2 linked regions of the Macaca mulatta genome follow. The protein of the gene in region 1 interacts with the protein of each later gene in a biochemical or structural test. Links are inferred from orthologs where the notes say so. Each region holds a gene or a part of one and is shown on either strand. Other genes may lie near its edges.

What was found. The genes of interacting proteins can lie anywhere in the genome.
Region 2: the proteins of LRRK1 (region 1) and SNX21 form a complex in vitro, tested with the Homo sapiens proteins (2 studies listed by BioGRID and IntAct, with this or other methods). The link is inferred for Macaca mulatta from reciprocal best matches to the Homo sapiens genes LRRK1 and SNX21.

The regions. Positions count from the first base shown.
Region 1 is NC_133412.1:91,436,749-91,440,719, reverse strand, and holds the end of LRRK1 (leucine-rich repeat serine/threonine-protein kinase 1), read right to left. Parts: coding exon 3,965-3,971; intron 2,041-3,964; coding exon 1,863-2,040; 3' UTR 590-1,862; downstream 1-589.
Region 2 is NC_133415.1:98,631,673-98,635,317, forward strand, and holds the end of SNX21 (sorting nexin-21), read left to right. Parts: intron 1-206; exon of another isoform or gene 207-346; coding exon of another isoform or gene 347-583; intron 584-764; coding exon 765-1,439; 3' UTR 1,440-1,937; coding exon of another isoform or gene 1,938-2,056; 3' UTR 2,057-3,377; downstream 3,378-3,645. Other genes in the region: ACOT8 (acyl-coenzyme A thioesterase 8), read right to left, coding at 1,938-2,056, 3,611-3,645. UniProt on the Homo sapiens protein: Binds to membranes enriched in phosphatidylinositol 3-phosphate (PtdIns(P3)) and phosphatidylinositol 4,5-bisphosphate. May be involved in several stages of intracellular trafficking.

The DNA.
Region 1 (3,971 bases):
GGATCCTCCTGCCTTGGCTCCTGGGTAGCTGGGACTTCAGGCCTATACGATTTCTAACTGTGGTGTGAAGAGATCCCCTCCCCTGGCTCTGTGAGGCCTGGGGCTGGGCTTTTCCAGGAGTAGGAAAGGGTGAGTTTGGTGCCTGATGCCTGCAAAGCAGCCTGGCCTCAGGTGATGCCAAAGCAAAAGCTTGGGACCTGGGGCAGACAGACTCTGGTTTGTATCTGGAGGTTAACTGGGCAGCTGTGGTGCACTGGAATGAAAGGAGAGGGAGAGTGGGACTCCTGAGGCCCTGCTGTGGGATGAGGGTGAGAGAATGGCAGGAAGGTGGACAGGAAGCACAGACCCTCAACCCCCTGGGACTTGGTGCCCAGGCTGGCACACAAAAAAAAGTAGGGGAACTCGCTTTTTCCAACCTGTGACTGACAGAGCAGTGTCTCCACCCTTGGAAGCTGCTCAGGGGCCACCTGCATGTTGGTACAGTGGGCAAGGAGGGGCTGCCCGTTACCCCCAGATAGCCAGTGGGTCTGGGAGGGACTGAGTCTGTGCTGTGGTCATAAGCACTCGAAAGACAGAGGCCACAGCTTCATTCTTGAAAGAATCTGTTTATTTTGAGATTAAAAGAGTCTCATCCCCCTGCATATCCCGCAAATACTAAATTTGATCTTTTTAATTTTAGAAAAGGGTCAACAAACTTCAGCTGGAGTATGATCTCTCTTTCAAACTCCCATTCTGGTTTAAGGAGCCACAAAGGGTAACCCTTGACAAAAATGTGGCTATGTTTGCACATGTGTGTGCCTATATGTGTGCATGTGTGTAATACATACATGTGCATAATTTATACAATGTTTGCTGTTGTATCCATAAGCCCCCTATGGACAATTTTCCTTTTTGTACTCTGCTGTACACGTGTGGAGCGAAAGTTTAGCAAATACATAATTTGGTATAAATCCCATACAATGTGATTTCACAACCAGAAGCCTGACCACTGAGATATTACTGAATTTTTAAAAGTGATAAACAAGATTTTTATGTGCAAACAAACAGGGCTTGTGCTCCAGCTGCGTCCAAATTTACTTGACAAAGCTATAAACACAAGGCCCTTTCTGAAGTCCTGCTGATTGAGTTTCCCCTTCCTTTTGTCGGTGGAGAGGAATGTAAAGGCTAAGCTGGTGCACTTGCACTATGCGCCTCTGGGCTTTCTGGCTGCGACACTTAAAGGAACTCATTCATTCTCCGGATGGGGCAACGCTCCTCACCCAGCGTCCTCCGAGGGCTTTCCCACACGGAGACCTTCCCGAACTCAGAGACATCTGATCTTGGCTTGCCCAAGCTGGCCGAGGCCTCAGGGACTCAGGAGCCTGTGGAATGTGCTGAGAGCCTGAGGTCTCCGGTGGGGAAAGGGCAGGGGTTACAGCCCCCCTCCTGCTCTACCTCAACTGCTTCCCAACCCAGGGCCTCTAGTGTAATTCCATCTGAGACCCGGGGATGGCAGGAAGGCCCGGCTCTACTTTGTTTGACCCAGCTCAGAACGGGATCCTCCACCCCTGCTCCTGGAAACTGATGGAGGAGGCCAGCGGAGGCCCTGCCCGGCCTGATACCACTGTCTTCCCTGGGCCTGTGAAATCAGCAGTTGGGGGATGGGGTATTCAGATAACTCTGCTCCGGAGAACCAGAGAACCCTGGAGCCACCCCTAGGCGGGTAACTTCTCAGCACTTCTTAGCAGCAAGGAGTCAAGGAGTTCAGGGGAGAGCTCCATCTGTCTTCTAGGTCCTTGGAGAACTAGAGGCTGATGGCAGAGGGGTCAGGCTGCAACCTGGGACCAGCCAGCTTTGCATGTGTGACTGTCATTCCACAGGAATTACCTTCTCTTGCGTGTGCAAGCCTCCAGCCGGCCCAGCTCCTCGTAGGACTGGTAGAAAATGTCAAACTCCCTGGCGCCCCAGCCCCTCCAGACAGCCAGGCACCACTCTGTGTTTTCGTTTTCAAAGCTGCACACAACAGTGTCCTTTGCCACCACAGCAGCATCCACCAACACCCTGCAGAGAGAAGGGGTCTGAGGAAACTCACAGGGTCCCCACTTGGGTGGGGTTGGGACCCTCACCCTGGGCCTTCTGAGGAAGGCAGAGCTGGCTAAGGGGAGGGGAGTATGTCTGCTTGCCAGCCCTCTCTGGGGTGTGCTCAGATGCACCACTTCTCCCCGGTGGCCCAGCCTGCGGGCTTAGGCTTTATAAAGTCCAAACATGGGCTGTGGGCATGAGTTCACTTCCATGGGCTTTGTCTGTAAGAGTCCGACTCCCTGGAAAGCCACAGAAGCAATCAGATCAGGCATCCGTGACTTAACTTCAAAGCGTCCAGAAAACACCAATGAACCAAATTTCTGCTTGTGAATGGCTCATGACCGAGTTTAACTCAACTCCCTTGCCACTAAGCTCAATAGGATTCTTCTCTCATTCTGTTTCTACATGCTTAGGAAATACAGGCTCATATATTAAATGGAAAACCTACTGCCCCAAAGTCATCACTATATACATTTTTTGAAACTGTGGACAGTTCTGCAGGATTGGTGGGTGCGCTACAAGTTTCCTTTTGGGCCGCAGTGCAGCCTCCCTGCCCTGCTGCTGCCCCACCCCGAGCACATACTAACTGCCTTCCTTTCCTCCCTCTGTGCCCCGTGTGTGCAGCCTGCGTGGCACTGAGGTGCTCCTGCAAACTGGGATGTCCAGGGACCTCTGACTCCGCATGGCCTTGCCAGGGCCTCCCCTTAGGCTGACCGCTGGGGCCTCTTTCTCCCTATAGCGAGAAAGAGGTAAAATCTGGCTTTAGGGGATGGATAGGAAAAACAACAACAACTAAACATTAGGACACTAACGGCAGGTATGCCAAGGTCCCAACCTGGGTGCTGCACACCCATTTCCTCCAGAAGGCCAACCTGCAAGCTGGGAACTCCGTCAGTTCAAGGCTTCCAGCCACAGACTCTGGCAGAGCTCGGGAGCAGATCCAGATCTTGCTTCCAGAACCACTAACAGAGCAAGGCTCACTGGCCCGGGATTCACTGCCAAAGTTCAAAGCTGGCAGGCAAGGGAGTGAGACTGCCATGGATGCCTCCTTGGTCATTGTCCTGCTCTGGGAGAAACAAGCTGAGTGGGGTTTCTCCACCCTCTTATGAAATAAAAACCCACTTGCCCAGGGATGGGGGATAACTCACGCTACAGGAAAACAGGCCTAGTGTGAAGTGGAAGAGCTCCAAAGTACACACACACACACACACACACACACACACACACACACACAATTTGAATTGAGGACTTTTCATAAGGGAGATTTACCATGTGGGGCTCGGTAGTCAAAGTGAGGGGTGTAAACACTGTGGGGAGCTGCAGCTGGTACCAGCCTCATATCACTCCAGCCATGTAGACCATGTTCGGGATAGGCCACCCTGCCCAGCATACCCTCGCAGAGGAGACTGGCATAATCCTGGGGGGACTCACCCACAGACAGTTACTGAACCATGCCTCAGCCCAGGAAGGGCAGGAGCTGAGACCCCAGGCTTGGAGATGACAAGGTGTGCCTATGTCATGTGTCCCCATAGGGTGCTGTGTGGGCAGGTGGACACCTCGGGTAGGGTTTCCTGCTTGGCAGGAAGAACAGTGAATCAATCACCTGGATGCATCTGCATGTCAACTGCAGCTGAATTCTGGCCCTGGAGGCATTCGTTAGGTAGGGTACTTGATCTACAGGTGCACTGGGTACTCCAGAAACAGGGAGCCATGGCCAGTGTGGAGCCCCTTGGAGCTGTCTGCGGGGCCCCATCTTGTTTCCACTTTGCCTTATAGCCAAGTTGGTGGATACACTATTTGGGAGAATGGAGGGGCAGCAAAGCCACTGTGCAAGACCTGGCTATGGGGCCTTCTGTGCTCATGCTGCTGCCTGGGTCCTAAAGGAGCTGCCACTCAGTCTTACCCATGTG
Region 2 (3,645 bases), on another chromosome or scaffold:
CAATGGAGTGAGACCCTGTCGGAAAAAAAAAAAAAATTAAAAGGGGAACCACCTCCTGATTCTGATGCAGTGATATTTACTCTAGTGCACACCACCTAAAAACCTCAGGTACCAATACTTGTACATGTCTCATTTTTGGACAAACACTGACTTCACCGAGCACTTCCTTCACTAGAAACAGAAGTGGACCCAGAGGTGATGGCCTTGCCTGAGGTCACACAGGGAAGGAGTAGCTGACCTTAGGTTAGAACTTGAGTCCTAGGCCAGTATACTTTTCACAGTTATGGCAATTGTGGCTATCTACAGACCTGTCCTCTGGGTCTAGTTTGGAAAATTCTGACCGGGGATGTGGAGGCCAGGTGTCCAAAGTGGAACAAGCTCCGTGCTGTTCCTAAAGGAGACCCAAGAGATTGGCCTGGGTTTCAGCTCTTGTCTGGTTTTCCAGCGGGGGCTGTCAGAAGAACTAACTGCTCTATGGGAAGGGAGTACAAAAAAAGGGGCAGCAGCCCCGGGCACTGAAGCTCATCTCTGTCTTTCTCTCTTCTTGCTGCCTTGGGCCTGGGTCATTTCAGACAAACCTCAGGTAAGATGGGACTGGGCTTCCCCGCCACTGTGGCAGCAGCTCCCGCCCTCCTGGGTGCTATCCCAGGGGTGAAAGGAAGAGGTGGGGAGGCACAGCTGGGAGTGTGGGGGATGGGGAGGGATGGGGAGGGAACGGGCCCATGGACAACTTGCATTTGCCCTGACACCCACCCTCCCTGCAGCTCTACACCCTCGCCGTGATAGGCCCAGGGCCGCCAGATTGCCAGCCAGCCCAGATCTCTCGCCGTTACTCGGACTTTGAGCGGCTGCACCGAAACCTGCAGCGGCAATTCCGGGGCCCAATGGCTGCCATCTCCTTCCCCCGTAAGCGGCTGCGCCGGAATTTTACTGCAGAGACCATTGCCCGCCGTAGCCGGGCCTTTGAGCAGTTTTTGGGTCACCTGCAGGCAGTGCCTGAGCTGCGCCATGCCCCAGACCTGCAGGACTTCTTCGTGCTGCCAGAGCTGCGGCGGGCACAGAGCCTCACCTGTACTGGCCTCTATCGTGAGGCTCTGGCACTCTGGGCCACTGCCTGGCAGCTGCAAGCCCAGCTGGGCACCCCCTCTGGCCCAGACCGCCCCCTGCTGACCCTGGCTGGGCTGGCCGTGTGCCACCAGGAGCTGGAAGACCCTGGGGAGGCCCGGGCATGCTGTGAGAAGGCCCTGCAGCTGCTTGGGGACAAGAGCCTCCACCCTTTGCTGGCACCCTTTCTGGAGGCCCATGTTCGACTCTCCTGGCGCCTGGGCCTGGACAAACGTCAATCAGAGGCTCGGCTCCAAGCCCTGCAGGAGGCAGGCCTTACCCCCACGCCACCCCCTAGTCTCAAAGAACTGCTCATCAAGGAGGTGCTGGACTAACCCTTGCCTAGGTTTAAGGCCACTGTGAGGAGAGAGGCTGCCCCAGAATGCAGGGGAAGGACCCAATGAGGACAGAATAGCTGGGAGCACCTAGAAGTTCCAAAAGAGAATGTGAAGCAGATCAAGGAAACTTCTGTTGAGCTGGGCTCAGGATGAGCTTTGGCTGAGGTTGCCCTGGTATAGTACAGGGAAGAAGTCTGACACAGCCTCTCCAGCTTATAAACAGCCAAGGGGCTGTGGCACAGGTCAGGGGCAATGTTCCCTTGTTGGTGGGCCCCCAAGCTGGCGAGGCCTCCTCTGAAGGCCAGGGACTCTGCCCTGGAGTCCTGGAGTTGAGGGATGAAGGCAAGGTCTGGCCCAGGGGAATTAAAGGCCAGCCACTCCAGTGGTATCAGTCTCTTTATTGGATGTGAGGGCCAAAAGGGACTGTAACTGCTGTCTCAGGAATGGGGATAGATGGGAGGTTCTTGAAGCCCCAGGCCAAGCTGGTACCTCTGGCTACAGCTTGCTCTCTGAGACCTGGGGCTTCACACGGATCACGCCCTCCTGGGCACAGGTCACAGCTAGGACTCCATCCTGACGCCACAGCCGCCCATGGACCAGCCCCCGAGAGCCACCTGTGGGTGAGGTGAAAGGTGAGGATGGCCTGCTTCAGAACAGCCAAATGCACTTCTTTTTTTCTGAAACAGAGTCTATGTTGCCCAGGCTGGTCTCAAGCTCCTGGGTTCAAGGGATCCTCCCACCTCAGCCTCCTGAGCAGCTGGGATTACAGGCTTAGCACAGCACCACGCCCGACCTCCAAGTGGACTTCTTGAAAAGGGTCTGGCCCAGGGCAGGGCTGCCCCACACAAGGGTGTGCTGAGTGTCATGGCTGCTCCAAATGCCCCTTCTTGATCTTATTATGGACCATCATTGAGGGGTAACTCCTCCCACAGGAACCCCACTTGATAGTTTAAAAGCACTTTCACACCTCTGCTCGCTTCCTCAAAAAGATCACGGAGGGAGGAGCTCTCAGAACAGTCTCCTTCAACTGCTTGGCCAAGCAGAACTGCTATCCCTCTGGCCACTCGTGTTAGGAAACCTATTGGCTCCCTGTATAATAAATCAAGCCAGATCCTCCAAGTGGTGATTCCTGAAAAATATCCCCACTACCACCACCAAGGGGAAGAAGGGGCTCAGCAGAGGAATTAAAGCCACGAGGTCTGGCCTCTTCCCTCCCCACCTGGAGATTCTTGCTCCCTTGCTGGCTTTGGGCCTGAGTCTGATGTTTATGAGGATGATGGCTGGTTTCCCTTACACATAGCAGAGCTCACTCAGTTCTCACAGTAGCCAAAGGAAGCAGTTATGTGTTGTGCAGTTTTCCAGACCAGGACTGAAATCCAGAGAGGGTCAGGAATTTGGTTCCATCATGAGGCCAAATCTGAACCCACATCCTCACTTCAAGGTTATCAATCTTGGATTGGGATGCTATTGGTACGTGAGAGTACCCCTTATCTGAGTATAACGAGTCCTTAAGTTTTTCCCTTGGTTTATCGAGCAAAGCCTTTCTTCATTTGAAATGTACTCCCTTGGAAAGGAGGTCAGGGTTCTGAAGCTAGACATTGATGAATGAGTCTTGTTTCTCTATCTCCCCTGCAAGGAATGTCCAAGCCGTGAGGCCCTTAGGGACCACTGAATGCTCCAACCCCAATCAGGTTAATCAGAGTCACTTAGAGAACTTAAACATACAGTTTCCTGGACCTTATCCAAGACCTACTGAGTCAGAATCTTGAGGGTGGAATCAGAATCTATTTTGAAAAGGCGTCCCCAAATGGCAGTCTGATGGGCTGCCGGGTTTGGATACCATTGCTGTAATGTAACCCTCTTTGTTTAGATGAGGAAACAGGCTCAGACGGAAGACACGATTTGCCTATTGTAATAAAAAGAATCTGAACTGGTTCTGGGACTAGAACTGGGTCCCTGGGAGAAGGTGAATCACATTCCCAGCACATTCTAGCAATTTAGAGCAGAGCAGGTGTCCCAGCCTCACCCTCTCATTTTGAAGATGAAGATGCGAAAGCCTAGGAGGGAAGGAAAGGAAGTGACCTGTGCAGTGCCACACAGGAAGTCAGGGGAAGTCAGCATCTGCCACCCAAGGTCAGTGCCCTTGTCCCACACGGCCCCACACTCACCAGCCCAGGGGCTCTCGCACTCATAGAGCATCCAG